Linked DNA regions of Oreochromis niloticus. The protein of the gene in region 2 interacts with the protein of the main gene of each other region in a pairwise test. Links are inferred from orthologs where the notes say so. Each region holds a gene or a part of one and is shown on either strand. Other genes may lie near its edges. The genes, in order: zc3h15, drg1 and rwdd1.

Region 1 (10,816 bases), on a different chromosome or scaffold from region 2:
GAATGGAGGCAAGTTTTGGAGCCCTCACCCATTGAGGAAATATTTCTGAAAATATTTCAAAGTAATTCCTCCCCAAAATTAATCAGCAATTTTTATAATGCATTTATGAGTTTCAACACAAGTGCAACTTTGGATATTAAGGCAAGGTGGGAAGCTGAGATTGGCACTCAAATCTCAGAGGACACCTGGGAAGAGGTGTTTGGTGAAGCCCATCTTGTGACTAATTCTGGGCTGTGGAGAGAATTTAAATGGAAGGTGGTCATGAGATATTTTAGAACCCCAGAGATAATTGCCAAAATGAAGCCTACAAATCCTGACACCTGCTGGCGAAATTGCGGTACTTATTTAGGAACCCACTCACATATATTCTGGTCATGCCCAAAAATCTGTTCATTTTGGAATGACATATTTAAAGTTCTCAATACAGTTTTTCAACAACCATTAATAAAAGACCAACAGCTAGCCATTTTAGGAGTATTACCAAATGGTTTTGTGGGAAACAATAAAAAGTATCTCTTAAGAATTCTGCTTACAGCAGCACTAAAGTGTATTACTATTAAATGGCTGAATCTTGACCCACCTTCATATAATATGTGGATTGATAAAGTAAGAGAAATTTACCAGATGGAGGAAATAACATATGCTCTGCGGATTCAGAGAGAATTGTTTACTGAGCGTTGGCGACCCATACATGCTTTACTGTTTCAGTAATTTAGCATAGGTCTGGTTCATTTTGTTCATTTTTGGCTAAGATTGTCAAATGTTATTTAATATTACATAAACTTTTTGTTTTATTTTTATTGCTTTTGTTGTTTGTTTGCTTGGGTTTTGTTTTGCTTCCCAGTTTTGTTTTGTGTTTCCTAATTGCAGCTGTTACTGTAATCTGTATTTCTGCATTGCGGTTCCTGTAACTGTCCTACTTGTGAACATTGCCAAGTACGAGTTGCAATGTTGTAAAGTATAATAAAAATTGAGTTTAAAAAAAAAAAAAAAAAGTTTCACAGTTTCTGTTTGGTTTGGTACATGAATCTCCACACCAGGCTGAGCCAGCCTTTTGAAGATAAGGGAGAAAAGTGCAAAGTTGTCTATGGTAAAAATGGTTTGCACATCAGCAATACCAAAGACAGCAACCTCACTTTTACACCTTCCAGTCCATCTCATTCAATAGTTGAACTCTGTGCTGCTGTTACTCACCTCAAAGGTTCCCTAAAGCACACTGTTGTAGTTATCCTTACCTCACTCTCTATAAGTTCCTCCAACGAGAGCTCTTCCTCTGTCTCCTCCTTCTTCTTGTCTTTTTTCAGTACAAAACCGGGAGGCAGAGCATGCCGGTACATACAATTGTCGCCCCCTGCGGGACACACCCAGAACCAGCCATACTTATTGTTTTCTATGGCCTCCAAGAAGTACTTACACACCTGCAGACAAACAATTGTGAGTTAGCAACAGTAAAGCAGACAAAATCTTGTATTATTATTGGTATTAGTTGACTGAACTGTTAGTGGGACTGTCTTTGACGAATTTTGTTTGGAGCCAAAAGACTCTTGGGAACAAACCGAGTGGAAAAAAGCACATTTTTTTCTTAGATTTGGTTTTCTCTGCTTATTCTTTATCCATCAAACATCCTGAACTCCCTGCATTTCACCTTACCACATAAACAAGTCTGTTTCCCACACTCTCATTAAACCACCTGATGAAAACACAGACGACCAGCAAATATCTAGGTCCTTGTCTTCATTCACTAATTGTTTTTCATAACAACAGACTTACGATTTGTGTTTTGGCTTTCTTCTTCTCAGCTTCTCCGTGTTTTTTGTTGACGACTTCCTCTAGTTTCTTCTCATCCCAGTTCTCCATAGTGTCTGAAAGCAGCACATCACAGTCTTTCAGCATGGGGTATGAATTCAAATCACTGAAGTGCCCAACACCCTCTCCTGTAGCTCATAAAATAGCTCACATTGGCCTTTTTTGTACAAGAATGGGGCTCTAAGACAGTAAGACGTAGCAGAAATTTCAGTTAATTTTCAAAGAAAAAAAAACATGGTAGGCATGATGGACCACCCGTCCAGGTAAAGTCAATAAAGGAGATAAGGCAAAGGCCTGGTTAATTTAATTAAGTGTTCATCACTGAATTTTAAGTCCAGATATCAGTAGTTGAAATTTACTCAGAATGAGGGCTATTTGCATTACAGGGGAAAAACATTGACTATTTTACTCAGGAAAAATAAACAAAGCTGCCATAAGGTAGGCTTAAGTCCCATGTAATCATAACTAAATATCAAATCAAGCTGTTTACATTTTTAGCAGATGGTTGTCTTCTTAATTTATCTGAATAATAGAAAATGATAACATTAGATTTCCTGAGAAATCATGATGCAGATGTTGACATCACGCAGCAATAGACACCCTTTCAATATGTACAAGTTAACTGTGATGTCTACCAACCTTTCTCCAGGTCTTCATCTCTTTCGTCCACATAGACGCTTCTCTTTTCACATTTCCTCTCCATGGATAGATCATGGCTGAACTTGCACTTGTCTCCTTTAGTACACTGACCCTGCTTAAAGAACGCACACAGCACTGACTTTGGATCAACACCTGCAGGAAATAAAGAGAGAAAAAAGATCAATCATCTTTTCTTATCAAATTTAACACATCAAATGATTCATCTCCTGTGTGTGTCACACGCTGTGTGTTACCTTTGCTGACTTTCTGAGCAGCAACTACGGGTTTAAAAAGTTCATTGAGTTCATCCAGCTCTTTCTTCTTATCACTCTTCTTGGTGGTCTTTTCTGCCTCAGCCTGGGCAATCTAAACACGACAAATTCAGCCACATTTAAAGATTATCTTACTTACAAAAGATTTAAGGAAGACAGCAAGTACGGGGAGCAAAAGTAAGAGAAGAATGTTTGGCTTAAGGATTAAGAAGATACACAAGGATGAAGGCAGAAAGAAATACAGAAGGCAAGAACAGTTCGCTAACCTGTCTGGCACTTTGTTGTCCATATTTGACTTGCTGAGTAACATTCTTGATGTACTTCTGCTGCTTGGCCCCTTTTTTGTTCTTTAAGCCAAATGTCTTATCCTACAAAAAAACAAAAAACAAAACAAACAAACAAACACAAAAGCCCAAACACATCTTTATTAATTGTCACTTTTATAATACAATTCCAAACACAAAGCCTGAGTAAGTGTTACATCACTACAACAAGGAGTACAGTGAAATCCACTTGACACATCTGCAATATCAGGCCATGGTTCCATCTTCCATCCACTGCAGAACTACCATACCTAGTTGAAGTGTGCTAGTCAGGTGAAAACTCTAAAGTTTCAAGATTGCTTAAAGAATGAGTGAATTGATTATTTTTGTACATATCACAGCAAAAATTATCACACAACCAAAACCGAGATTGTAGTCTTGGTTCAGTCTTTGGTAGGCTCATTATGCAAAGCATAACCAAAAGTTTGCTTTTATTGCATAGATCCTTTAGAATAATGATGAGGCATCAGTTCTCTTTGGTTCTACTAACAGCAACATGAGGCCAGTGGTCAGTGATTTCAGAGAAACCAAAATTTGTCTCAGCAGACCAAGTCTGTGAAAAGTTAGACTTTCGACAAGGAACAGATCATAAATGCATGTCTAATTCAACAAATACTGACACACTTGTTCAAGATCTGACATACAGCTATGATAAAAATTAGCTCACTAAACATCATTATTCAGGGTAATTTTCACAGCCATTAGAACTGAAGGCTATGGTTGCCCTTCTGCGGCACTGTATCGCTCTGTGTCTAAATGTTTTATAATTGCACTACCTTGCCTGCAGCACTCATCCCAAGTTTCATCTTTATTTAGTTCACGTTCATTCTTTATTAAAAACCCATAGGCCCAATTTATCATCCACCATAACAGTAGGCTTTGATTTTAACAGGTGGTACTGAACCAAGGGTGCAGTGTGTGGCTCATCTGTGTTTAAATAGTTATTTTACCAACAACAAAAGTCACACCTACAGCCTGGCTCAACACCATTTTCTGTTGTAAAATTAAAAACTTTGCAACTGAAAGCAAGAGTTGCTTGTCTGGTGTTAAGGAAACTGAATGATGAAGTTGCATGTTAAAAACTTCGAGCACAAGCTGCGCCCCTTTCAAAATTTACTTGAAATTCCCGCTGCTAAACTTAACCACAACAGAAAACGTGTAAGCGACCGGAAGACGCTGATAATATTAGGTGTTGTGTACGGAAAAAATTAAATACACACAAACTGAGCTTGAAATTACTCATTTTAGCCTGTTTACATCACTGAAACAGACTCAAATGTGTTTCCTGAGCAGTCCTGAGGCCGGTCAGAAAACAGGCCTTTCACTCTGCGCCTTCGTGCTCGTTTGTGTTTAAAACCATGAAGAAAACCTCATAAAACACCACATAAGCCTTGCCATAATGTTTCTAATTCTTACATGAGTCTTCAACAGGGGATATTAACCTTAAAGCAATAACTGTGGGCACTTGCTGATGCGGCGGCACGGCCCTGATAGCAGCTTAGCTTTATCAGTTAGCTACACGCCTTCATCGAGACAGTCAGCTAGCTTTAGGTTAAACTATACCCGAAGAGGCCTTTAGTAGAATACTACTAACTACTTCGAAATATGGACCAAACAATTAGAAAGCACTGACAACTGCCCAGAGGCCAGAACAACTTTACGATTCACCTGTCAGCACTTGCGATAGCCTCGGTTAGCCGTATGCTAGCTTATCAGCTAGGGTTAATCAACGACACGCTAACTCGTGTAACTTTTACCTCAATAATCTTTTCCTTTTTCTTCTCCTGAGTTTTTTTATTTCCCCCGGGCTGGGCGGGTTTCTTCGGAGGCATGCTGGCTCAGGTATAGCTGTGAACAAAATGCGTGAAGCTGTTCAATATCTTTATTATTGGTGATTTTGCAGGGAAGTCAGCTCCACATTACCCGGTTGTTGCTAGCACCGCAACAGCGCCTTCTAGGCCACATGTGAGTTGTTGATGTTCTGTGACGTCAACACGCACCCCGAGAGGCAGGATGGGTACTGTAGTCTGGAGAAAAATCTGAACCAGAATACTTTATTAATCCCTAAGGAAATTATGTAATCCCTAAGGAAATTGCAAAACACGTCTAGTTCAGGGGTGTCAAACATAAGGCTCTTCTTTCTCTTTATTCTTCTTCTTAAGATCATTACGGTGGCGGTGCAGGACATGTATGAAGACATGGTGAGATGGTAAGATGTGTTTAAGGTGCGGGTAGGATTAATTTAGGGATCAGCTCTGAGCCCATTCTTGTTTGCAGTGATCATGGACAGGTTTACAGTTGAGGTCAGGCAGGAGTGTCCATGGACTGCAATGTTTGGAGACAACACTGTGATCTATAGTGAGATTAGGTAGCAGGTTGAAGAGAGTCTGGAGAGGGGGAGTTATGCTCTGGAGAGAAGAGGACTGAAAGTCTGTAAAAGATGTGTGTGGATGACAGGGAGACAGGTGTAACAGTGAAGCTGCAGAGAGCAGATGTAGTGAAGGTAGAATTTAAATACCTGGGGTGAACCATCCAAAGCAAAGTTCACACAGTGTTCACAAACTAGTTGCTTGTCCTCAGTGCTCTTCTGTCATTTCTTTTGTATCAATTTGTATTAAGTCTTTATTTTCCCAGTATGTTTTCTTTTCACCTCCTGCTTTATTTTGTGAGTTTGCTGTTACTCATGCTTTACCTTTGGTTTCACTTCCTGTGTCTCGTCATCTTATGCAGTTAATTTCAGCCGTGTCTCACCATCAGAAACAAGAACAGGCTCAGGGCCTGGGTGTCTGCATCTGGCTCCTACTCACAAGTTTCAGTGTGCATATACTGCAGACTATGATACCGGGTTTGAAGTCATTTGATTGCAGTTATAAGATTTAACCATCTGGTGTCAGTATTGCAATATATGTCAGCTGAAGCAAGAAGCTTCAAGAAGTTAAGAAAAGAGGACCTCACTCATTTAACGGTCAAGTGTAAACAAAATTCAGACATATATTGTTAGAGAGCCCAGAATTATTTGAGAGCACGAACTTTGTGTTTTGGAAAACTAACTGAATAATGAGGAAAACAGATCTGCAGTGTTACAAGTATTGTTGCTGCCTCAAACAACAACCAAAAGATCAAGAAGTGGCTCAACTCATGAGACTTGAGAAGGACCACATGCCTAAATTGGAGTTTGGTTGAATGACTTTGGAGCATTTGATTACACAGGTACTGAGAAATCAGCAGAAAGGAGATGTGTATTTCTATCATAGGCAGTAGATAAAAAAGGTTATTAGAGAGCCACCATCTGGCCAGTGAAAATAAGACTGTTTTATTAGCATTTTACTCTTTTTTTTCACAGTTTGATTAGACCACTAGTCAATTAATTTCAACTTTGGTATGACTTTTACTGGCTGAGTAATGGATCAGCCCCTATCTGCAAAACCTCTGTGGTTTGCTATGAGGAAAATTATAGGAAGCACAAAAAGAAGAGAAAGAGCAGGAACAAAGCTACAGTTGGGTGCGTTTGAAGAAGAAAAGGAAAAAAAGCCCCCCTTTGTAACCAGACGCACGAGACGTGTCATCGCTGCGAGGTGGAGAACTAACCAGCAGGGGTTTTACCGCTTCAGCTGCTGATTCAACTTGATTTAATTAGATTTCACTTAAGTTACTAATGTGATTTCGTTTGGCACATTTGAAATGTGTGGCCTTCATCCACATCGTGCCTCGGTTCATCGGCCACTTCACTGTTCACAACGTGTGTGTGTGCAAATGTGTGTATGTGTCGCACAGGAAACCGAGGCACAGACAAGAGCCAAAATGGGTCACACACGCCTGCTCCTTTTGGGCTCTCATTTGCGCTCATGTCTTTTAATGAGTCCTGGTTTTCAAGGGTAAGGGACAACATTTACTCAGTTTGGGTGCTCTCATAATGGCAGTACTAGTTGTGCACTTTAATGAGTCCCAGAGTGAGACAATGAATTAACTCTAGTAACAGCATCCTTGGCTGAAAATGTGTTATCAAGCCATGTGTTACCAGACATTTCTCTCTGCTCGCATGCTCTGCTGCAACTTTATTTTATTTTATCCAATGCAGAGACTTTTTATTTCTAACACACTTATCATGCATGGCGCTTTTCCACCTTGCAAATATGTGTGCGTCTATGTGTGCGCGAGTGTGTGCATACAATAACCTATATTGACACTACTGCTGACTGCATGGCTGAAGGCTAGATTTTAAGACAACAGAGGCTGGTAATATTGCCTCAAGCAAACTTTCCCTGTGTGTTTCTTTCTCTTGCTCCTCCTTTTTCTTTTTCTCTGAATGTCTTTGTCTCTCTGAGTGGAGTATAATAAATCACTATATCTGCTAGAAGAGCATTTTCCCTATAACCTCCCTCTTCATATTCATACAAACATCGATCCTTTCTGCAGAGGGCATCATGTCACGCACACACACATACACACACACACTCACGCTGAAGCACACACTCGAATGCACTTGAATCCAGAGATGACTGCAGATGGAAAGAAAACATCTCTGGCCTAATTAAGAAAGCACAACAGTCGATCTTCTTCCCGTGGTAGCTGAGAAAACTTGACACTGCGCAACCTGTAACTGTCTCATTTTTTTGAGGCAATAATCAAAAGCATCCTGGTATTCAGGCTGCCTCGGCCTCCTCCTGCTTCCAAGGACAAACTGCAGCACCTTGTCTGTACCGCTAACTTGCTGAGCAGGTCATCGGCTGTCAGCTGCTCCCCATCAAGGTGCTGCACGACACCAGGGGCGAAGAAAAGGGCAGGAACGATAATCTCCAGCCAGGCCCACCCAGGCAACCTCCTGCTCCAAAAGCAAAAACATGTAACTCCACTGTAGATTGGGGAAAAGTGTCCTGCTGCATAAAGACCTTGACCACCCATCACCTCACGGCTTTTTTCTCTGCACACTGCTGAGATACCATCATCCCGCGGTGCTCCCTGCAACCCAGGACTTATTCAGTGCTAAAGTTCCTCTCTTTTTTTTTCTTTTTGGTGTAAAGCACATTCCCCTCAACCTGCCTTGTCTACATTTACTTCATAAGATGGTTTCTTACATTTCTGACAGTCCCAAGAGAACAGATGTGAACTTGTTGTATTTAGCTTTATGCTCTGTGTTCAGGTAATAACCAATAGCAGTAGCAGGAGTGATAGCGAGAGACGGTGCTTTTTTTTATCTGGGAAAAGGAGAGAATCATATCCTTTTACTGATAACACAACTCGTCTGCTGCATGCATTGTACTCCGGTCCCTTGAGGCTACTGTCGGTGGAGAGATTGCTGTGTATTCCTGCTCTCGTGGTGGATTTCTTTCTCACCGTGTGAGAGTTGAAAGTCGGTGCAAAATGAAGAGTCTAGAAAGGAGCGCTTTGCTCGCTAATCCCAAGGGACTGACACCAAAACAGGATGTTTAGCTTACTGTTGATGTTTCAGATAACTGAAGAATGTGGGACTCCAATGCTTTTAAGTTTCAATATCAGTGTAGCTACACTGGAAATATCTGGAGTGATCTATGGAAAAACAGAACACCAAACAAGAAGATGGGCTCGAAACATTTGAGATATTTACCAGTAGCTATTTTTAAAACATGTTAAACTATTTTCAGCAGGATTTTTCTCTAACTAGCTGTCCCATTATTCACTCACTGCTGGAAAAATACTCAGGCTTCTTCTCACAATTGGATAAAGTTGTTTGTAAACCTATTACTGTCAGTCATAAGTGCTACCACCAATTCATTTTAGCAGAAGCACCAGTTTTAGGTTTTCAGTATTTTGGCTATTGACTCCCTGCAGGGTTTTATCATCTCATGCTTGCCTGTGTGGCATAAAACTGTTGGTTGTTTTTGTGATTTTACTCGTTCCTACATTTTATTGCATTCCTTCTGTGCCTTTTTATTGTGTATTCCTATTTCATTATTTTATTGTTAACTCCATCTGCAAACCATATTCATCTCAGGGGACAATAAATATTGAATTGAACCGCACTCAGTCGTTCACGGAAGATTGGAAGGTGGGGGTTTACTGCCTGATAACTGGAAACATGAATGAATGAGTGAGAACATTGATGGGGAAAGTCAAAGCATTAGACAGAGTAGTGTTCCCGGCTTTAAACCATAGCACATGATCTGGAAAAAACTGAAAGAAATCAGATAAGAAGTCATTAAAGTGCTCACAAAATGAAAATGATCGTGTTTAGGATTTGGAGCTGAGCTTGAAATCCACCACCTGAGAAACATCTCAAGAAAAGTTTAACTTTAGAAGTTTAAACTTCATCCTCAAACTTAATTTGATGTCTTTGTAGGTCTTTAAGTAAATGCTACAATATCCTCAATTACACATGAACAAAAAATACTGTCTTACTGTCACAGTCTTCCAGGTGTGGCACCTGCCTGTCTCTCTTTGTCTCTCCTGTCTGTGTGACTGGGGGCTTTGAGTTAACCAGTCTCTTTCAGTGCTGAGCATGGTGTCAGAAAACCTGGGGCAGGCACACCAGTGTTTAAAGCTGGCTTCCACCACCACCTGTTGCCAGATTTTAAACCTATGCATGCTTTAGCATGGCTCAGGTGGTTTATTACTCTGCTTGCTTACCTGCTTGTTTGTATCCTCATGGACCTTGTACTTGCCTGCCCACCTCCTCCTTTTTCTCAGGGAACCTGCTGGAGAGCGTGCCTCACCTGCTCTCACTGCCCTTGCTGCTGTAACATCTCTACTCTGAGGACTCAAATATTGGAAACCTTAGCCTGAGGAAAGAGAGGAAAACTGCAGTAACAGTGTTTGCCCCCTGCCTAAAGTATACTTACCTGCTTATTTAGAAACTTGTCCAAGTCCCCTGCAGCTTGCGAATGATCAACTTACCAGAAAGATTACTTACCTAATCTGTTTCACTGTTTACCTGCAAGTATTCCCCGCTGTTGTTGCTCAGAGAATTGCTCATTAAAACTACTAAACTTTTTCAGTGTTCTGCATTTGAGGTTTAAATCCTTCTGGATAACATTACCACTTACTGGTCACACATTACACACATCATTAGAATGATGACATAATAATAATGCTTCAGAGGGTGTAGTAACAAGGTTTGTTTCAGCACTGCCTCTGTGCAGGAAGTTCATACATAACCATCAAAACTTAGGGCACCTGCAAGAGTTATTTGCACTCACATTCAAGACATCATTTGGTTCCATCACTGCAGGAAAGATCTATGTTAAGCAATTTGTTAATCCCTTAAAAAAGACAGCTTCATGTGAAATTTAAATAATTTCGTTTTGTCGTCATTTTTAAAAATAATATGAGCGCAGATATTAGCCCTTTCTTCTCATCTCCCATCAAATGTTTAGCCAAAACGGGGGTGAGATGTGACTTGGAAGAAATGGAAATTTAACACCCACAACAGGGCAAACTCCAGCTGCTGCTGAAGTTGGACGCAATTCACCTTATGGGGATTAAATAATGAAAAAAACGTCGGCATGCACTGAAAATGAACGGGGTGTGTAGATATTACAAAATGTTTCACACATGTGAACGGATAATGTGGGATTAGTTTTAATCAGCCACCACTCAATACTGTACATCATCTCATAGATTAAACCTATTTAACAGATAACTAAATGTCTTCACAAAAAGTTAATATTTTCATATCACAACTCAGCAACTGTTTTGTAAAGAATATAAAAAATCAAGAGAAGAAGTCACACAATAAAAACTCAGATTATTATAGCAGAATGTTCAGAGATTACAAACTCCCAGAGATAATTAGACTTCAAA
Region 2 (10,254 bases):
CTGGTCTACATTTCAGAAAAAGCTTTCAGGATCTACAGAGAATTGTCTGAAAAAGGGAAAATATCCAGAGTGCGCTGTGAGGAGTGCTTTTTATGGAAACCAAATGACCACTCCATAAACACATGGCACAATACAGGAGGGAAAGCTCAACAGAACAAGACAAATGAACTTAAAGGAGAAAACACATTTTTGAGGATGCCAGTGTTCACATTTTGGACCAAGAACACAGACGGTTTGAGAGATGAGTAAAGAAGTCCATCTATATCCACTGTGAATTTCTGTCACCAAACAGAGGTGGTGGGTGTGACACGAGTTATCAGCCACCTACAATGCAATTTTGAGAAACCTTCCCAAGTATTTCAACACCCACTCTCACCTTGCCTCAGGTGACCTCGATAGCTCATATGAGGTACAAAAAATGTCTTTACAAACCTAAAGAAATCTAGTTACCTTCTTTTCAAGCACTTAAGACTACCATGACCTGTATGACTGAAAATCTACATAGACCACTGAGCATTATTTAAAATGTCACAGCCTACCTAGGTATTGTTGCAGCAGGATAGCACACCAGGTCACAAATCACCTTAAAACAGATTTTGTAAACATGACATTAAGCTGTCAGCAGCAGCTGATAAATCTGCAGCAACTGTGTCACGTTATCATGTAAATATCTGAGGAATGTTTCCAGCACCTTGTTGAATCTGTGCTACATAGAATGAAGATTCAAGATTCAAAGTGTTTATTGTCATGTGTCACAAGAGAAAAAGGCATTTCTCTGTGCAATGAAATTCTTTCTTTGTTTTTCACCTACAGATGCTGATTAATATATACAATAGAAATAGAACATATAAATACACATAGCACAAATAAATAAATGAAGACAGAAAGGGAGACAAAATATGGAGATTTGAAACAGAGATGTGTGCAAAAGAGCTAAAGAGCAAACGCAGTTCTAATGGAAGTACCACAACCTGGTACAAGGAAAGTGTAACTAATAAATTGTCCAGTGAGTGGATAAAGTTGAGGTTCACTGCCTGCCCATAATGGTCAAAAGAAATCTTTGAGCAGGCTTGCACTTTTTGATGCCAGAGAAAATGTAACAGTAATGAAGTGGAAAAGTTTCAAAATGTGCGTGCATACACGATATAAGTGTGCCATGGGAAGAAGGCAGTGATGAGGCTCATGAAAGGAAGAGCTTAAAATACCAAGACTTTATCAAAGAGTGTAGAGTGAAAGGGTGGCAACTATGTCTGTTTCCTCTAGAAGTGGAATCCCAGTACAGTCACTGTAAATGGCACTCACTACACTCAGAGTTTCAGAAAATGAGCGGAAGACAGCTGTATGCAGGATTGTGGAAGCAGCAGAAAGAGCCTCTTATGGGCTCTGGTATAAAAGGGAGGTGTAGGGTTGGAAGTGTGGAGGTGGTGGGCAGGCCATCGCTGCTGACATGCCAGATGGAGGGTGTTGCAGTTAAGGGTTGAAATGCCAGGTTAAGCCTGGGCATGACATCAGCTCCAGGCCGAAGGCCACAGTCAATCTGTAGAGCACCAGCGGTTGTGTTTTAAGCAAACTTTAGATAAACAATGTGAATCATTGTCTCACTGAAAATCTACAAATACAACATCTTATGATTTAATCTGTCTATAAATATATACGGGAGAAAACTAAATTCCAGTAGCACTATTAGTTGTGCTGCCATTATATTTCCCTCTAAGCAGATTCCACTGTGATCAAATCATTACCTGCGATGACCTGTCGGCCTCTGCCCTTTCCATCCTTGGCGCCCTCAATGATTCCCGGGAGATCCAGGAGCTGAAAAAGGAAGTAGTAAGGAAAAGAAAAATATAAGCAAATAACTTAAACCTTACCACAGCATGAACACTATTAGAGATTTTGAAGAAAGCAGAAACTCTTGTACCTGAATTTTAGCACCTTTATACCGAATGACTCCAGGTACTGTTGTTAGAGTGGTGAACTCGTAGGCAGCAACCTCAGAGTATACACCTGCAAGGTTACTTAGCAGTGTAGACTTTCCTACTGAAGGAAAGCCTACAAAGCCAACACGAGCATCACCGGTTTTCGCTACATCAAAACCTAAAAGTTGGAGGAGACATATATATATATACATAAAAAAAAAAATCAAATATGCATTAGAATTCTTTGCCGGGCAAAAATAAATAAATATTTAAAATAAAACTTTGGTAACATCATTAGGACACAAGTATCCTGATCTCACCTTCTCCTGTCCCACCACCGCTGCCTCCTTTAGGTGTGATGAGTTCCCTTCTGAGTTTGGCAAGACGTGCTTTGAGCAGACCCAAGTGGTGAGCTGTGGCCTTGTTCTTCTGCGTCCTGGCCATCTACAGTGAACAATAACATCAGTCTGCGTGAGAACTTTCTAAAAAGCATTAAGTACGCAGTTTTCACTGAATGCACTCAGGTACACCCATGGTGAAACTTAAAACAAAATAGACTTATCCTTTACAATTGAAAGTTTAATTTTGCCCATCTGGATTTACTGTAATGTCAGTGCAGTAACAACGCTATAAACCTGTTCCCATTCTTTCATGTTGTACAGTTTTTACTTTATCCATCCATCCATCCATCCATTTTTTTTAACATTAATTAACAGATATTCATTCATTTTATTTAATAACCTTAGTTTTTCTGTCCATTTGATAAATAATGCAGTTTAAAGCATTTAAGGTGGGAGGAAACATTTTTAATATGCAGGAAAAGTCCTGGCCAAGATCAACACAGCTGTGTTTCTCTGCACAATACAATGTACACCTAGTGCTGGTCTCAAGTTAGGGATAAATGGGTAGGTTGTGACAGGGAGGACGTCCGGTGTAAAGTCTTTGCCAAATCAAACATGTTAGCTAGAAATGTTATTAGTGATTTACGAGAACTGCTACCGGTACAACTGACCAGCAGGGTGGCTGCTAATGGCCAAAGACTGAGAAAGAATAGTAGGGGGAAGGCATGTTTGGAGGCAGCAAAATAGAAGGCAAGATGTTAAATGTAGGAATTATGGCTGGTAAAGTGAGAGACATGGCTGACAAAGGAAAGGATGTTCAAGATGGATCTGTCAGGCAGGAAGATAAGAGGAAGACCACAGAGAAGACAGATGGAAGCAATGATCTGCTGTGGCAACCCTTAAAGAAGACACTGAAACAAGTACTCTTTGCACTGCAACCTGGAGGGTTTCCTTTTACTGCCTCTGACAATACAGTAAAGTTTCCATAAAAATCTAAAACATTCGGTTTAATTTAAAGCAAGTACCCCTGCTGGTATGAACTCGCATGTTCAAATTTGAGGCTTCCTCAATACAACAGACGGCACACCATACAAAGATCATAATATATGGATACGTGCGGATTAAAAGACAGCACTGCCGTCTTAAATTAACTTGTATTGGACAGTTAAAGTGTACACGTTGCGTAAAGGCGAGCTTGTTACCACCATCAACCTGCACTAGCACATCCGTTATACTGTCTTATATGATTAGTAATGGATTCACAAGTTCACTGATTGGGTAAAGCAACTTCATAGGGACTTTGTGGTGAAAAGGGAAAAAACTGAGTTAGAAATATTGAGAGTAAAACAAAGCCCGGCTGTAATATTGTTGCTAACGCTAACAGTTTGTAGCAAGCTTAAACGTGACTGTCAGCGGGTTAGCCCACCCGCTGCTTCCATCTTACCTCATTTTCAATTTCTGCTATTTTGGCAAGTATACTCATGGTGACGGTGTTCCCCGTGTACAATTGACGTTACCGGTTGAAACTAAAAAGGTTTTACATGGAAGTTGGCAAAGTTATTGGGGTACTTTAGCATGCACGCCACACAAACGCGGTTGTGCGGTTTTTCGAGGGAAATCTCGCGAGAACTCGGACAGAAGCGGGGCATGATACCCGGTGCATTGACCAATAACAGCCCGCGTTGACTCACAGGTTGCTCACGGGACAAAAAAGAGAAACGCAAACGCAGCATGAGCTTCCAGAAGGGCAAATGCTTCATTTGCGAATCAGGAGCATGGAATTTAGTACAACTAAAATTGCAAATTAAAAAATATAAACACAAATACTGCCCCCTGAGTCCAGCTTTCATATAGCCTGCTATATGGATAATGGAAAATTCCATTATTTATTTGGAAAGGTTGCACTTCACTGGATATCAGAAAAAAAAACGTTTAGTTAACTTGTTTGATAAATCCCAGATAGCTTTTCGAGGAAAAAAATCTTTGCATCAAAAGGTACAATTAAGCTACTAAACACAATATTTTATTAAGAATTAATGTAGGCCTGTGTGCCTGATGAGCATTGGCTTGTACTTTTATCAAGTTTCGGATGTTTCTGAGTTGTGAGGAGACATCGTCGTTCTAAATTGATTTAAATAACCGTTTTACGCTGTAAAACATCAGATTGAATCAGTTTCTAGCTGAGAATGTACCACCGGACTGCGTTACTGTTGTCATGCAAAAGTTATACACCTGTACCTAAAATACTGCATGACTACATTTACTCAGGTAGGATAGTGCGCTTTGATTTCTTTTGCGTTTTTAATGAAATAATCCATAAGTTAAATATTAGAAGTTTTATAAAACAAAACCATTTAACTACACATGAACTAAATTACCGACATTACCGTCTCCTAAATTAGGGTTATGAATAAAAACACCTCTACAGAAGAAAATCTTGATGAAAAAATAAGCTCATGGGCCACTTCATTGAGTACACCTCAGTGGTACGAGGTGAGAATACCCTTTGCCTTTAGAACAGCCTTAATTCTTCGTGACACAGATTAAAAGATACGCCGGAAACATTCCTCAGAGATTTTGGTTCATGTTGACATGATCACACAGTTGCTGCAGATTTTGCAGCTGCACAACCCTTTATGAGAATCCCCCATTCTGCCACATCCCAAAGGTGCTCTACTGGATTGAGATCAGGTGGCACCGGAGGCCATTTGAGTACAGTCAACTCATTATCAATCAGTTTGAGATGATGTGGACTTTGTGACATCACGTGTAATCCCGTTGAAAGCAGCCATCAGAAGATAGACACGCTGTGATCATACTGAAGACCGACCGATATATCGGCACTGCTGATATTATGAGTTATGTTATGAGTGGTAATGTTATCAGTGTTCATGCTGCATAGTTTGTCCACCAGAGGGCACTTTTAAACGTCTCTGCTGGCACAAACACAGCAGATCTAAGTAGAGTCAGGCAGAGCATAATCGAGTAATCCAGGAGTTGTTGTGACAATATAATATGATTATTTTTAAACTGAATTGGAAGGACTCATAAATAACATAACAGATATTATGGAAATATGTTTATATTTCATGTGTCATGTTTCATTTCACCCATCAACCCGTCTGGCGCCAACAACCATGCCGTGTTCAAAGTCACTTAAATCACCTTTCTTCCAAATTCTGATCCTCCGTGTGAACTTCAGCAGGTTGTCTTGGCCATATCTACCTGCCTAAATGGACTGCCATGTGATGTGTATCATATTTAATACATGAGTTTTTGTGTTATTTATGAGCTGTTGAAAAGGTGTACCAACAAAGCATCCAGTGAGCGTATAACTGCATATAAAGTCAAAGCTGAATGCACACAAAGTATTGCAAACTGATGATTCGGTAAGATTAATATAATATTACATTTGTTGAATAGTAATTACATTTATTCAGGTAGAAGTTTAGATACTGTATTTGGATTTCTGGTGTGTAATTGTAAAATTGTTGCATGTTAACTTTTAACAAATAATCAATTCTACAATTCTGCTTCTAAATAAGAAAAATCTTAGAACTTTGTTATATACTCAGGGACTATCCCTTTACTTTTGCCAACACAATGGCAACTCTGGCTATATCAAATAATCTAATTTATGTCATAGCGAACCTTTTACTTTAGAAGATTTATAAAGTCTGTGGTGCACTTTACCTGGAGTGTACATACTGATGACCACATTGTTTACAACACTGGTTATTCTTTCTACAAAAGCACATAAGATACAAACCCACATTTAAATGCACACAAAAAGGATGGAGACCAGTGAAATTGTATATTTTTATTGTTTAATTCTTTATCGTTTAAGTCGCATACAGTATAGTCTGTCATTGGTTTCTATGCTGCTAAAGTTTGTGGACTGAACATCTGTGTTTTGTCAACTGTCTGATTGATTTATTGTTTAATGAGTGAGCTGGTTGAACAAAACCTGTGATGGATCTCCTCTGACCCATGCGATGCTCTGTGAACCTTGGAATGGCTGTTTTAAAAATACACAACCATTATGGTCGTATACTGAGTAATAATGCATAAAAGGGTATGTTGGACACATCAGAAGATTTCACAGTTCATATGTAGCTAGAGTGCATTAATGACCAAAGTGGATATATGAATGAAATCAGAATATATGTTAAATCAATTGTGGACCGTAACATTTCCAAGTGTAATAAATGCCAATCACATTTACCAGCCCTGCTCTTCCAGCTCATCCAACCAGTATCATCCAAAGCATATGCTGTAAATGATAGATGGAGTGTGAAGAATACCACAGTTTTTAAATCACACTATTTGTTAATTATGTTCAGAAAAGAGTCTCACAGACAGTTTTATGTATCTTAACTCCAGTCCAAGATATCCTTACCGTGTGCTAGTTACGCTGAATCTGCCTCTTAATCGATCCCACGTTGTTGTTTGTTTAGTTTTAAGAGGTGTGCTTCTCCTCATTAAAGTATATAAAAATAGGCATTTACTTTTTAAAAGGTAGATATGGTTACGGTTTTGTTGTTCAGCATTTGTTGTTGCCCAGCTGGGATGGCAGCAAGCATAAATAGCACAGGCAAAAGGAAAAAAAAAAGACGGGAGGTGAGACACAGCGAGACAGGGGGTTAATTAGTAAATATATGATCACTCAGTAAGTTTCTAAAGACCTCTGCAGGTCTAAGATGATGCTTCTTTGTGAGAAACAGAAAGGGGGCTTTGATTTGAATCATTAACACTAGCCACAACTCGATAATTGACAATAATAAACCCATGCCCGAACATTTAAAATGTTCTTCTTTTAATGAGCAACGTATCTTTATATCATATCTTAGTCAGCATTGAAGTGCATTGATTAAAAAGTAAGTGCAAGTACAGGTTCTGATGCATTCATTTTTACTAGAGGATTAAATTATTTGCAACGTGGCCCCCCAAAAATAGTCATTCTACAGGGGCACTCTGCAAAGGAAAACCACTATAGTTGATGCTGTTTCTAACCTAAAAGATATATGCTGTTTTCCTCATTTCAAGCTTTTAAAGTTATCTCTGAGTGACAGTGTGTAGGAGCGATTTTCATCTGGCTTCTGCTGTCAGTTCACTCCAGTCCGTAAACCGTAGTACTTTTCCTCAATATCACTGCCATGCTCCCTGACTGATTTCTCAGTGGTTTCTCGGTTTCCTTTGAGGAACACAGAGACTGAATCAAGCCAGCAGAAGCACAAAGTCTGTGAGAAGCACTATTTTAGTGCAATAGTTTCACACTTGGTAACCCTGCTACCTAAAACTGGCTACCTGTGCATAGAGATGGAGAAGAGTTCTTATCATAGCCCCATCGATAGGCCTTTTAGTTGTTACTGAGGGAAGCGCCATTATTTTTATGTCACCAGAGCAAGGATAACAACATCTTTTGAGGTAATAAAAAATAAATAACAGCATGAAGTTATCCATTAAAATGTATTGTCCCCAGTATCTTGGATTCTGTCATCAGAATTTGGATAATACTTATTGAAACCATAAGGCTTTACGATAAATGCAACTTGGCCATATGATGGCAAAAGTCTCCAGTGGAGGCGTTCCCCCTGGACTCTAGCTGCTCTCCGAGGAGGTGGGCGGTGCCGTGGAGGACGACCTCCGTCGGGACACTGACTGTGAGCGCTCAGGGCTGTGTTTGTCATAAGGCTGGAGCTGCACCTCCAGGAAGTCCCTGTGCTGCTGGCTGATGACCTGGCTGATGAGTCCGGGCAAAGCTTGCAAGTTACTCAGTAGAGTCTCCAGCTTCGTCTCCAGCAGGGCAATCCTTTTCTCCATGTCCTCCCCTCTCTCATTCAGGTCTGATACCATGTCATACATGATGTTCTGAGTCTGGAACAGGAGAGATAAAACACGCTTATTGATATCATTTTCAAACCGATGTTACTTTTGATGGACCACCAGAAAATTTATTATAGATTAAAAATAAAATAGGGAAAATGCATTTTTATCACTTCAAGATGCACTGATAGTTCTGAAAAGAGAAGAAAGAAAACTGGTTACAAGAGGCTACGAGTGCTAAAGATTCACTGTTCAAACACATCAAAGTCAAAGTAAAGAATGACTTTAAAATAATAAATGGATGTATATCTATTTGTACGTCTGTCTGAAAACAATACTCACATTCTGCCTGCAATTTCAATGTCAGCAATCGTGAATGAACATCAAAGGCGCTATGCTGTGTAAAAGTGCAATAAAAGTTCAGCTAATATGATGCTTCCACAGTCTGAGTCAGCTCAATAAAGCTCACAGTTTCAGATGTTACAGGATTTTTTCACTGTATTGCACAATATTTGATTATTAAACCAAGATAAAAGGAAGAAAAAAGTCACTATCAAATTCAAGGTATTTTAGGATTTCCTATTTCTCTTAAATAACAACAAAAATGTTCATGACTGAGTGCAGTAATGACACGGATACACTCAATGGCCACTTTGTTAGGTACACCTGCTCCACTGCTTGTTAATGCAAACTTCTAATCAGCCAATCTCATGGCACGTCTAACATGGTGAAGATGACCTGCCAAAGTTCAAAGTCAATATCAGAATGTGAAAGAAAGGTGGTGCTAGAGGTCAGAGGAGAATGGCCAGACTGCTTTGAGTTGATAGGATGGCAACGGGAAGTCAAACAACTCCTCGTTACAGCTAAGGTATGCAGAAAAGCATCTCTGAATGAACAGTATATTGATGGGCTACAGCAGAAGACCACACTAGGTGCCACTTCTGTCAGCTAAGAACAGGAAACGGAGCTACAATTTACTTGTAATGGTGTCGGGGATATTTTCTTGATACATTTTGGCCCCTTAGTACCAAATAAGCATTTAAATGCCAGAGCCTAACTGAATGTTGCTGCGGATCTTGTCCATCTCTTTATGCCCTTTATGACCATAGTGTGCCCATCTGCTAATGGTTGCTTTCAGCAGGATAGTGCACCACGTCATGCCTGTCAAATCATCAAAATTGTTCTCAAATGCCCTCCACAGTCACCACAACCTAATCCAATAGAGCACCTTTGGGATGTAGTGGGATGTGAGATTTCCATTATGTGCAGCCAACAAATTTGCAACTGTGTGATGCTGTCATATCAATATGGATCAAAATCTCTCAGGAGAATGTTTCCAATCTGTATCACGAAGACTTAATGCAGTTATGAAGGCAAAAAAGGGTCCACCCCGGTATTAGCAAGGTGTATCTAATAAAATGTCCAGTGAGTGTATACACCTTACGCCACACACGAGATCAGCCTGTACAGAACCTGCATAATATGACAGGGTGGTGAGTGCACCAATGTTTCAGTTTATGTGTCAGGCTGAACGCTGTCGTAATACTGCACGGTGAGACGTTCCTGCTCCGGCTTCTTGAGCTGAATCAACAGTTCAGATTTTACAAACTCAAAGTAAATGCTTTATGATACTGCCATTTTATCCATCTTGTCTGCAATGGTGTCTCACCCAGAGAAACCTTCACCATCCTTCAAAATAAGGTCAGAGGAACATTATGGGAGCACAGTATCTGCCGTAAACTGATCTAGAAGGGTGAATTTTATTTGGACAGTTTTCGTTTTCATGCAGACCAGAGTACATTAGTCTGTGAAATTGAGGAGACAGGAAAGGTGCCTGCTGACTTGACATGATGCTCTTCTGATGCATCAGCCATCTCATAACAGGCTATTAAAAACAACAACAAGAAAAGAAAAACAAACAAACACACACACACACAAACAAACAAAAAAAAAAAACCCATGAAAATTATATAACTATAACTACTCTTCTCTAAAACGGTTGGGCTTCCAAAATAGTCAACGACAGCCTAAGAAATTCATGTCACATTCCAGATGGGGAGTGGTGGTGATGCTGCTGGAAGGCGGTCTCTGAGGTACTATTCAGTGCAGGACTAATAACCCCTGGCAGCCTAGAGGCGATGTCATCCATCACTTACCTTGTCCTCTTCTGA
Region 3 (10,571 bases), on a different chromosome or scaffold from region 2:
TTAAGATTCAGCAGGATTTCTTCCATTTCTTCACAGATTCCTCTTAATGAGGTTTGAGCTTCATCTAAATCACAAATGTAGACACACAGCAGTGAAGCTGTCATCCAAGGCACTGGGCTTCCATCTAAGCATCTGGAAAGATCTAGAAGCCACTAATTAGCCCTCAACCAGCACCAGACCCACGACTGCCCAGATAAATCCAATGACAGACCTGCTGTTGTAACAGTGTGAGGATATCTTCTGTGTCACTCTCCTCCAAGTTCTCCTGGGAATAGATTTCCCACAGCGGGGGCTCGTCTGGGTACTTGTCTACATACGTAAACTTTAAAGTTGTTTCCACAGCTGCAAAAAGACAACAGACAGTTCATGTTCCACAACTTTACGAGTGCAAAATGAAAAAGTTCTTTTTATTATTTAACTAAAGATAAAACTTTCATTTATTCTTTATTCACTACATGTAAAGTCAAACAGGGTGGATACACATGTATCCCCCCAGCTTAGTGCCTGCATAGTGGGGTTTTCACTAGTGGACGGGAGGATTTCTTTCATTCTGGTCACGTAACGGGTCCTGTTATTCGTGCTTCTCAATCAACGATGCAGTCTACCCAGCGTTCCTGGAGCCCCTGAGTGGGGTACATTAAAGTGGCCTTTGCTGTGTTACTAAGACCCTCCCCTTCACTATTTCAGTAGCGGCCGGGCCGGAGAGGAGGGAGGAGCGGCTGCAGCAGTCGGAGTTGGGAGTACTGCAATGTGCTGAAGCAATGTGAAACAGACACAAACACAGTGTGGAAGCAAATAAAGAACACTGAACGTGAACGTGTGTCAGGTCCTTCAGGGACACAGGCCCTCTATGAGCAAGTGCCTCAGTGACAGTGGGAAGGAAAAGCTGTTCTGCTGGAGGTTTCTTCCTGTTAAAAGAAACCTCCAGCAGAACCAGGCTCAGGGAGCGGCGGCCATCTGCCACAGGAAGAAGATGGGCCAAAGACACGCTGTGGAAGAGATCTGGATTACTACTAACTAATGAATAGTGCATAAAGACATAGTTAAAAAGAACTGCCCAGTGCATTATGGCCCCTTTTCCCTTAGTACCCACTTGGGTTGACTCGCTATGGATCAGCGCCACTCAACTGGTTTTCCATTACAACCCAGTAGTACCTTGCTGGTGTGCTTGTCGTCATAGCAACGTGTCTGCTCGTCCTGCGAGGTAATTAATATGCGACACGAACGCTACAACAAAGGTGGATGTTGAAGTGAATATATACCTGCTGCTCTGTCGGGAGCTTTTCATCACCCTCCCCCCGGCGTCGGTTTTTGTAGCCGTTTCCTGGCAGTTTTGATTTTATCGTGAACAAGATGCTCTCATTATTCATCGAGTGACGCTACTGACCAGCCAATCGGTGGCATGCAGTCTGACGATGTCACAATTTAGCACCGGTCTGGATCACTTGGAATCCCAGCGGAGCAGGTACTAAAAAGTACCTGCTGGTACCAAGTACTGTGCTAATAGAAAGCCCTGGAAACTGTGCTGAGTTGATCCAAGTAGTTTTATGGGCTTATGTGAAGCGACCAGCAGCCTACACCTATTGCAGCGTAACTAAGGGAGGATTCAGGGTCACCTGGTCCAGCCCTAACTATATGCTTTAGCAGAAAGGAAAAGTTTGAAGCCTAATCTTAAAAGTAGAGGAAATATCACAGTGTTACTGGAGGCCAAGGTAATACTAAGTATCTGATTACTGGTTATAGGGCTGACTTCAATAACCGAAGTTTTATCTACATTTAGAAGCCGAGGTCACCCAGGTCTTTAATGGTATAATATTCCTGTTTCAGCATGTACATGGAATTGGTCGAAACTTCCAATCAGTTAACATGAGGTAGCCACGCGCGAGTTAAGTGACCTGGCTGCACACGAACCATCATGACAGAAGCAGATGAAAAGCTTGAAATTAACCCCAAATAATCATTTCCTTCCATCAGCAATACTAATATTTTCAATTCTCTGGTGAGTTCAAAATTATTTTGCAAATAAATTTAAATAATTTTTTCATCTTTCAACTAGGCCTGCCACGATTAGTCGACTATCAAAATCATAAACGGCTAATTTAATAGTCGACTAGTCGCAAAAATAATCGGCGACTAGTTCGCCTACCAAAATGATGGTTTGTGGCAGCCCTACTTTCAACAGCAAGAGTTTGATGGTGACAGAGGAACTGTGTCTGTCTCTGGTTGTGTTGAAATGGATGATGCTCCTCCCAATTAAGAGGCCAAAGGACTCTGCATTAATGGCTATGCTTCGGCAAGCCTACTCACCAAAACCACAGCATCACAGGAAACATCAACTAGGAAGGCAAAGGAAGAAGTGAACAGTTACAGGCCAGTTAAAGCTGATCCACTGATCTTGCGGCCATGCAGGGGAACATCCTTAGAAGCAAAGCAGTATCACTGGGACCAGTGTTCCTTCTGACCTGGTTCTTTCAACTGCTGTGAGAGTGTAGTCCTGAATGGGCTCAGTGTTAATAGATTTCACACCAGAGGTTTCACAATACTGTCCTATTATCGTGATCCACTTCAAATGTTAAGTTGCTTTTAAATATATGCTATAAATGTACGCATGCATATATATATATACACACACACACATTCTATAAAGTCAAAGTCAAAGTCAGTTTTATTTGTCAATTTCTTCAGATGTACTTGCCATACAAAGGAATTGAAATTACGTTTCACACTGTCCCATGCGTAGACATAGACAACAATAAAGTGCAGATGCACAACATTTAGGTAACATACAGGATATAACAAGACACGACCTACACATAACATATAATAAAGTGTTCCACAGTGCGCCCTGGAAACCAATGAGCAGTTCAGTTTAAAACACCCGACATAATAACAGCTGCAGTGCTAGCTATTACCAAAACACTGTTTTCCAACCACATTCATCAGTTTACTTACTTTCCCCGTTCTCCCCGGCATCGGATGTGACCGTGATGGTGAAGCTGGTGGGATCTTCTGAGAGCACTGCAAGTACACACTCATTAGCAACATCACTACTACTATGATTTCATAACTGATTGGTAAAATCTTCAAATATGCCTTAGTTACCCAATCTCTTCTCTTTGTCAGTATTCACATTTAGAAATAATAAAGATTTGTATACCAATAACAATAAAGACTTCAGGCAAGCATAACAATGTTTGCTTTTCCCAACAGCTACCGAGTGCTAATAGAAATAGTATTAGTATTTAACATTAATATGAGTATCCTTTCACAAATACAAGAACACCAGCAAGCTAATCCCAAAAAGTTGATGCTCTTCATCTGGACGTTTTCAGTGGCAGAAAGATTTCGTCACTCATCCAACTTCTTCAGTCTCAGCTGACTGCAGGCTTCCAATCTTATAAACAGTACATTTGTACAATGACTGAAACTAGCACCGCTGAATAACAATGGGCTGTGAGGTCAGTTCTGCAAATTCTCATGACCATTGATCAACAACCACTGATCACTGACCATGAGTCCCATTCACAGAGAGTTGGGGAATGGCTGCAATCACAGCATTGTAAGATGGAGACAGGTGTACCCTTAGGCCCCCTCTTCGATTCAGAGATGGTCTTTCTCTTTTCACGTGAAAAGTTTCAGTCATTGTACAAATGTCCTATTTAAGGTTGGAAACCTGCCGTCAGCTGAGACCGAACAAGTCCCCTGGATGAAACGTTTCTCCCACTGAAAACGTCCAGATGAACAGAATCAACCTTCTGGGATTTACTTACCTGGATCATTGAGCATGCACCAAAACCAGCAAGCTAAGTAACGTGTACTTGCTAGCTATGAGCTAGCTGCTACTTTCGTGCTATAATCCTACTTAACGTTACGTGCCATTCAGACCTGTAAAGGAGTCTGGGTAGATGGACTCGATGGCTTCGAGTTCATTCCGCTGCTCTTCGGCGTAGTCTGTCATGTTTGTGTAGCTACAGGTTATCTGGAAGTTCGTAAAATCATCACCAATACGTTCGCTGTGTGCTGCGTACTCAGCTGAAACAGTCGATCGATTATCTCGACGATCCGCCGCTTCTCCTTCTTCTTCTTCTTTTCGGGTTTAGCGGGGTTAGCAAACCAGCTTTGAACGTACATTACCGCCACCTTCTGGACTTATGTAGATCACACGCTCGACGCAAGAACAAGAGAAAAACTTGCGTCCGTGTGTTTGCGATTTTTCTTTATGAATGAGAAAAAAAATCGGCTCGTTTATCGATTATCATTTAGAGGAAAACAAACAAATAGATAAATAGATAAGGGAAACGAACCGTTTTACTAACAGGGATGTTCTCCCTTTTCCTGTATCCTTGGGCAACATACTGACTCCAAGTTGCTCTTCAACACATGAACCTTCAGTCCACCAATCTGCAATTCATCCATTGGTGTATCCAAAGTGTTTGTCTGAATGGGTGAATGAGGCACGTTGTACAAAGCACTTTGAGATATAAGAATCTATATAAGCTATATAAGAACCAGTCAAATTACCAAATCTTGTTTTGCACTTTTGTTGGTATTTATTTATTTATTTTTATCACCCAGACGTTTTTCACATAATGGCAGTGGACAGTTTTGTCCTTTTTCAGGAAGGCTACAGGATTTCTCAGGTGCCAAAAAGTGATAAGATAAGATAAGATAAGATAAGATAAGATAAGATAACCTTTATTAGTCCCACACGTGGGAAATTTGTTTTGTCACAGCAGAAAGTGGACAGTGCAAAAGTTATATAGCAAAATTAGAATACAATAAGAATAAAATACTGTACACAACTGTACAGAATAGAATAAAATAAAATACTATATACAGTAGAATAAATAGAATAAAATATACAATAAGATAAAAATAGAATGCAACTGCTATATACAACTGAGTAAAAATACAACGATGCCAGAAAAAGATTATTGCACATTAGTGTTATTGCACATGTGTGGATGTGTGTGTTTGATCAGTTAAAGTCTTTGTTGTAGAGTCTGACAGCAGTGGGGAGGAAAGACCTGCGAAGTCTCTCCGTCCCACACCGTGGGTGCCGCAGCCACTGAAGGAGCTGCTCAGTGCTGTCACAGTCTCCTGCATGGGGTGGGAGATGTTGTCCAACAGGGATGACAGCTTAGCCACCATTCTCCTGTCACTCACCACCTCCACTGGGTCCAGAGGGCATCCTAGAACAGAGCTGGCCCTTCGGATCAGCCTGTTCAGTCTCTTCCTGTCCCCAGCAGAGATGCTGCCGCCCCAGCAGACCACACCATAAAAGATGGCTGAGGCCACCACAGAGTCATAGAAGGTCTTCAGGAGTGGGCCCTCCACTCCAAACGACCTGAGTCTCCGCAGCAGGTACAGCCTGCTCTGCCCTTTCCTGTAGAGGGCGTCTGAGTTATGAGTCCAGTCCAGTTTGTTGTTCAGATGAACACCAAGGTACCTGTAGCTGTCCACAGCCTCGATGTCCATACCTTGGATGTTCAGTGGTTGCAGTGGAGGATGTTTGTGCCTGCGGAAGTCTACCACCAGCTCCTTGGTTTTACTGGCGTTGATCTGGAGGTAGTTCAGCTGGCACCAGTCCACAAAGTCCTGAGTCAGTCCTCTGTACTCCTTGTCGTCCCCATCAGTGATGAGGCCGACTATTGCAGAGTCATCAGAGAACTTCTGCAGGAAGCACTGGGTGGAGTTGTGGGAGAAGTCTGCAGTGTAGATGGTGAAGAGGAACGGAGCCAGAACCGTTCCCTGTGGGGCCCCCGTACTGCAGACGACCCTGTCCGACACACAGCCCTGAGTCCTCACATACTGTGGTCGGTCGGTGAGGTAGTCCAGAATCCAGGTAGTGAGGTGATGGTCCACTCCAGAGTTCTCCAGCTTGTCCTTCAGAACCGAGGGAAGAATAGTGTTGAAGGCACTGGAGAAATCAAAGAACAGGATTCTCACAGTGCTTCCAGCGGTCTCCAGGTGAGCGAGGGAACGATGTAGGAGGTGAATGACGGCATCATCCGCTCCAATGCCAGGCTGGTAGGCAAACTGAAGTGGGTCCAGTGATGAGCTCACAAGGCGCCGAAGCTGAGCCAGGACCAGCCGCTCCAGGGTCTTCATCAGGTGGGATGTCAGAGCCACCGGCCTGTAGCTGTTGAGGTCCTTGGGGCGTGAAGTCTTTGGCACTGGTACAACACAGGAGGTTTTCCAGAGCTGTGGGACTCTCCCCAGCCTCAGGCTCAGGTTGAAGAGGTGCTCCATCACCCCACACAGTTGGTCTGCGCAGGACCTGACGACCCTCGAGCTGATGCCATCTGGACCCGCTGCCTTCTTGGCTTTAATCCTCCTCAGTTCCCTCCTAACCTGGGTGGTTGAGAGAGACAGGCTGGAGCCTTGTGTTGAGTGTGTATTGGATGCTGTTGTTGGGGGTGGGGAGGAGTGAGCAGGGTGAGTAGAGGAGGTGTGAAGTGTCTGAGGTGTCAGAGGTGGAACAGCAGCAGTGGGGGTGGGTGAGTCTGCAGCCGATGTTGGAGACTGCCTCATGGATGAATCAAATCTGTTGAAGAAATGATTCAGTTCATTTGCCCACCTCACATCCCTCCCAGGCAGAGAGTTCTGATGTTTGTGGCCTGAGATGGTTCTGAGGCCTCTCCAGACTTCACCAACGTTATTTTGCTGAAGCTGGTTCTCCATCTTCTGCCTGTAGCTGTCCTTCCCATTCCTTATCAGTCCCCTCAGCTTTCTCTGCACCCTTTTCAACTCCTCTTTGTCTCTGGATTTGAAGGCCCTCCTCTTCTGCTTGAGGACAGCTTTAATTTCTGGGGTAATCCAGGGTTTGTTGTTGGAGAAACACCGTACAGTCCTGGTAGGTACGGTGTTATCCACACAGAAATTAATATAGTCAGTAATGCATGTAGTAAGGCTGTCGATGTCCTCTCCGTGGTCGTCACAGATCACCTCCCACACAGTGGACTCAAAACAATCCTTAAGAGCCTCCTCGCTCTCCTCCGACCATCTCTGCACTGTGCGGGTGGCTGGTGGCTCCCTGCGCACTAAGGGCTCATACACAGGGACGAGGTGCACCAGGTTATGATCAGATCTGCCCAGGGGAGGGAGAGCTGATGAACTGTATGCCTCTTCAGCATTGGCATACAGTAAGTCCACTGTTTTATTGTCTCTGGTTGGGCAGGTCACATACTGGGTGAAGGTGGGCAGTGTGGAGTCCAGTGAGGCATGATTGAAGTCCCCTGATATTATGAGAAGGGCTCTCGGAGATTGTGTTTGCAGTCTGCTGACCACAGAGTGGAGAGAGTCACAGGCTGCATCCGCGTTGGCCGAGGGGGGGACATACGCTGTTATCGCGATAACATGCGAGAATTCCCGGGGCAGGTAGTACGGACGCATGTTAACGGCTAACAGCTCAATGTCTCTGCTGCAGAGTTGTTCTTTTACAGTGATGTTCCCGGGGTTACACCATCTGTCATTCACAAACACTGCCAGTCCCCCTCCTTTCCTCTTACCGCTCTCTCTCGTCCTGTCCGCTCGCAGCAGCTGGAATCCCGGTAGTGTCACGCTCGTGTCCGGAGTTAGCGATGTTAGCCACGACTCTGTTAGCATCATGATGCTACATTGCCGGTACTCCCTCTGTGACCAGGTTAGCGACGTGAGCTCATCCATCTTATTGGGCAAAGATCTTACGTTTCCAATAATTACAGAAGGAAGAGATGGTCGATAACGTCTCCTTCTCGGGCGACGGCGCTCCTTCCCAGCACGACACCCCCGTCTTTTCTTCCTCAGCTCGCTGGGAATGTCGAGTCTGTCCGCCGGCAGTACCGCTGCAGATGTGAGTGAAGTTGGCCCCCCCACCTTCTTCAAATCCAACAAAAGTGGTATTAAACGTTTGTGCTACATTCGTGCTGGTTTGTGCTGCAAAAATTTTCGTTTGTGCTACTATCATTTTAAAGATATTAATAAAAATTTCTAGAGGTCATCAGAGGTCAACCAGCCCCCCCACATTAATTAAATCAAACAAAATGGGTGTCAATCAGTTGTGCTACGTTTGTGCTGCTAAAATTGTTGTTTGTGCTGCTTCTGTTTTAAAGATATTAATGAAAAGGTAAAAGTCAAAAGGTCAACCAGCCCCCCCACATTACCCAAATCAAACAAAATTGATGTTAAACGTTTGTGCTGCAAAAATTTTTGTTTGTGCTGCTATCATTTTAAAAATTTTAATAAAATAACGTCTTGATGCGTGCTTAATCGTCCAGGTAAGTAAATCCCAAAAGGTTGATTCTGTTCATCTGGACATTTTCAGTTGGAGAAACGTTTCGTCACTCATCCAAGTGACTTCTTCAGTCTCAGCTGACTGCAGGTTTCCCAGATCTTATAAACACATGTGAGTGAAGTTGGCCCCCCTACCTTCTTCAAATCGAACAAAATTGATGTCAAACATTTGTCCTGCAAATTATTTTGTTTGTGCAGGTTATGTTTCCCTAATTTTATAAACAGTACATGTACAGTGAGAGAGAGATGTTACATCTGTCTTCACTTGCATCCCAGTCATAGAAGCGTTGGAGGTAGTTCGTAAGAGATTACAGGATCACCCCAACCTCAGCAACAGGACCACTCTCAGCACTGATCAGCTGTGTTTGCTTTTGGAACTGTGTCTTAATTCCACCTATTTTGCATAAGGGTCAGTACTACAGGCAGAAACCTAGGTGTGCCATGGGTTCCCACAGGCCCCTGGTCAAAGTCACCAAACCAGTTCGTAAGCAGTGTTGGGACTAACGCGTTATTAAGTAACGCGTTACAGTAACTACGTTATTATTGTGGTAACGAGCACGGTAACTAGTTATTATGCCAAAACCAGGAACGCGTTACTCGTTACTGGGATTTAGATAGGCTCGTTACTCCGTGTGGTGGATATCGCGGAGCTTCCACAGATTCAATAACATTAGCAAGTGGTGGAGGCCAGCAGGTGGATGAAGGAAAAGGGAGGCAAGAGGAGAGACCCGAAGCGGCCGCCGGTCCGCGTGTCAGGTGAACTGAACTTCAGGTAAGAAGTTATGACCTGCAGTCTATCTGAGTCAGATATAAACCAAGTTTAGGTGGAGTTTATTTTCGGTATGCTGACATTTTCGTACTGCGTGGTAGCTAGCATGACGGAGTTTCTATACAGCTGTGTGGGTGCTATGTGTTACTGATGTTGAACTTTATTTTGTTCATACGGTTAATTATTAGAGTTGCCAACCGTCCCGTAAAAAACAGAATCGTCTGGTATTCAGAGAAAATATTACGCGTTTCGTATTGAGGTGAAAAGGAACACAGTTTGTCCCGGACTTCAGCTACAATGAAAAAGACACAAAGCTGAAGCTGCACAGCTGCCTCTTCTTCTCTCATTCTCTCCTCTCCCGTTTCTACTTCAATCACGAAACTGATCAGTGATCAGCTGATCAGCTTTTCTCTCTTGTTTATTTATCGCCCACTTTGCGCCAGAAAGAGGAAACCAGCGGATGTCGCGTTAAACAACAGCAGCACGTTTAAGCTTGATCAGCTGTTGTTAGAATTTATTTAATATTAATTTCTAGTATCAGCTGATGTTTGCTGGAGCCACAGCTGTAAAGCTGCTGGTCATGATATCGGTTTGGTTATCTGGTGAGAGGGAAACATGCAGATGAAACCAGGAGATGTCCTTACTGAATCATCAGAGCTGAACAGGTGATGGAGAAACAGGTTTACCTTTAGGTGACATGAATGAGTTGAAGGGAAGTTATGAACTGTTTCTGAGAGACAAATAACACCAGGATCCTTTTCTACGTAGCTGACAGCTGGTAACTGTGCAGGGCGGGTCTAGCAAAGTGTTGCCAGGGGTCCAGGTAGGGCATTAACAGGGAAAGGGGGGGACAAGGAAATACTTTTCTTTATTATTCTCATTTAAAATGTCTCGCTTTAAAAAAAATAATTATCTGAGTCTTACAACAAACAATTGATAGATTGATCAGAACAGTGTACATCACTGTCACAACAGTGTTTATTTTCATTCAAAGGCTTTATGATTTTTAATATAATGGTGGGCCGGTCTCTAGTCAAAATGCCCGGGACGATTTTTTTGTCCCAGTCCAGCCCTGTATGCAGCTCATCTGCAGTCTGGTGTTACCTACATATTACCTACATCTTCCTATTCAGAAGGCAGAATTTCCAAGTTCTGAGTACAATCAAAAGCACCACGACTGCAGTTTTTGTGTTGGATGTAAAAAGCAGGCTAGAATCATGGCGGCGGTCAACGACGGTCCAGGCGTGGGATTTCTCTCGTGGAAATGTGCACATTATTTTTTCCTTTCTATTGGTAGGTGGCACAGTGCACTCGTGGCAAGTAAGCAAGCTAGAAGACTGACAGTCTGGCTGGGTATCCAGTTACGGAAGCAACACATTAACAAGAGAATTCTGAGTAAAACCAAAGTTACTTTCCCTAGTAACTAGTTACTTTGAAAGTAACGAGTAACTTGAAGTAACTGAGTTACTTTTTTAGAGAAGTAACTAGTAATGTAACTAAGTTACTAATTTAAAGTAACTTACCCAAC

The links.
Region 1: the proteins of drg1 (region 2) and zc3h15 interact in binary tests that used the Homo sapiens proteins (3 or more experiments, as listed by UniProt). The two-hybrid records come from large-scale screens. The link is inferred for Oreochromis niloticus from reciprocal best matches to the Homo sapiens genes DRG1 and ZC3H15.
Region 3: the proteins of drg1 (region 2) and rwdd1 interact in binary tests that used the Homo sapiens proteins (3 or more experiments, as listed by UniProt). The two-hybrid records come from large-scale screens. The link is inferred for Oreochromis niloticus from reciprocal best matches to the Homo sapiens genes DRG1 and RWDD1.

The regions. Positions count from the first base shown.
Region 1 is NC_031978.2:5,556,401-5,567,216, reverse strand, and holds the start of zc3h15 (zinc finger CCCH domain-containing protein 15), read right to left. Parts: upstream 5,062-10,816; 5' UTR 4,964-5,061; intron 4,889-4,963; 5' UTR 4,873-4,888; coding exon 4,798-4,872; intron 3,086-4,797; coding exon 2,984-3,085; intron 2,812-2,983; coding exon 2,700-2,811; intron 2,599-2,699; coding exon 2,446-2,598; intron 1,863-2,445; coding exon 1,771-1,862; intron 1,419-1,770; coding exon 1,236-1,418; intron 1-1,235. UniProt on the Homo sapiens protein: Protects DRG1 from proteolytic degradation. Stimulates DRG1 GTPase activity likely by increasing the affinity for the potassium ions.
Region 2 is NC_031972.2:23,049,733-23,059,986, forward strand, and holds the start of drg1 (developmentally-regulated GTP-binding protein 1), read right to left. Parts: upstream 3,897-10,254; 5' UTR 3,741-3,896; coding exon 3,702-3,740; intron 2,361-3,701; coding exon 2,237-2,360; intron 2,095-2,236; coding exon 1,919-2,094; intron 1,813-1,918; coding exon 1,743-1,812; intron 1-1,742. Other genes in the region: kcnn2 (small conductance calcium-activated potassium channel protein 2), read right to left, coding at 7,859-8,134. UniProt on the Homo sapiens protein: Catalyzes the conversion of GTP to GDP through hydrolysis of the gamma-phosphate bond in GTP. Appears to have an intrinsic GTPase activity that is stimulated by ZC3H15/DFRP1 binding likely by increasing the affinity for the potassium ions.
Region 3 is NC_031976.2:1,255,126-1,265,696, reverse strand, and holds the start of rwdd1 (RWD domain-containing protein 1), read right to left. Parts: upstream 4,094-10,571; 5' UTR 3,959-4,093; coding exon 3,886-3,958; intron 3,019-3,885; coding exon 2,953-3,018; intron 343-2,952; coding exon 212-342; intron 1-211. UniProt on the Homo sapiens protein: Protects DRG2 from proteolytic degradation.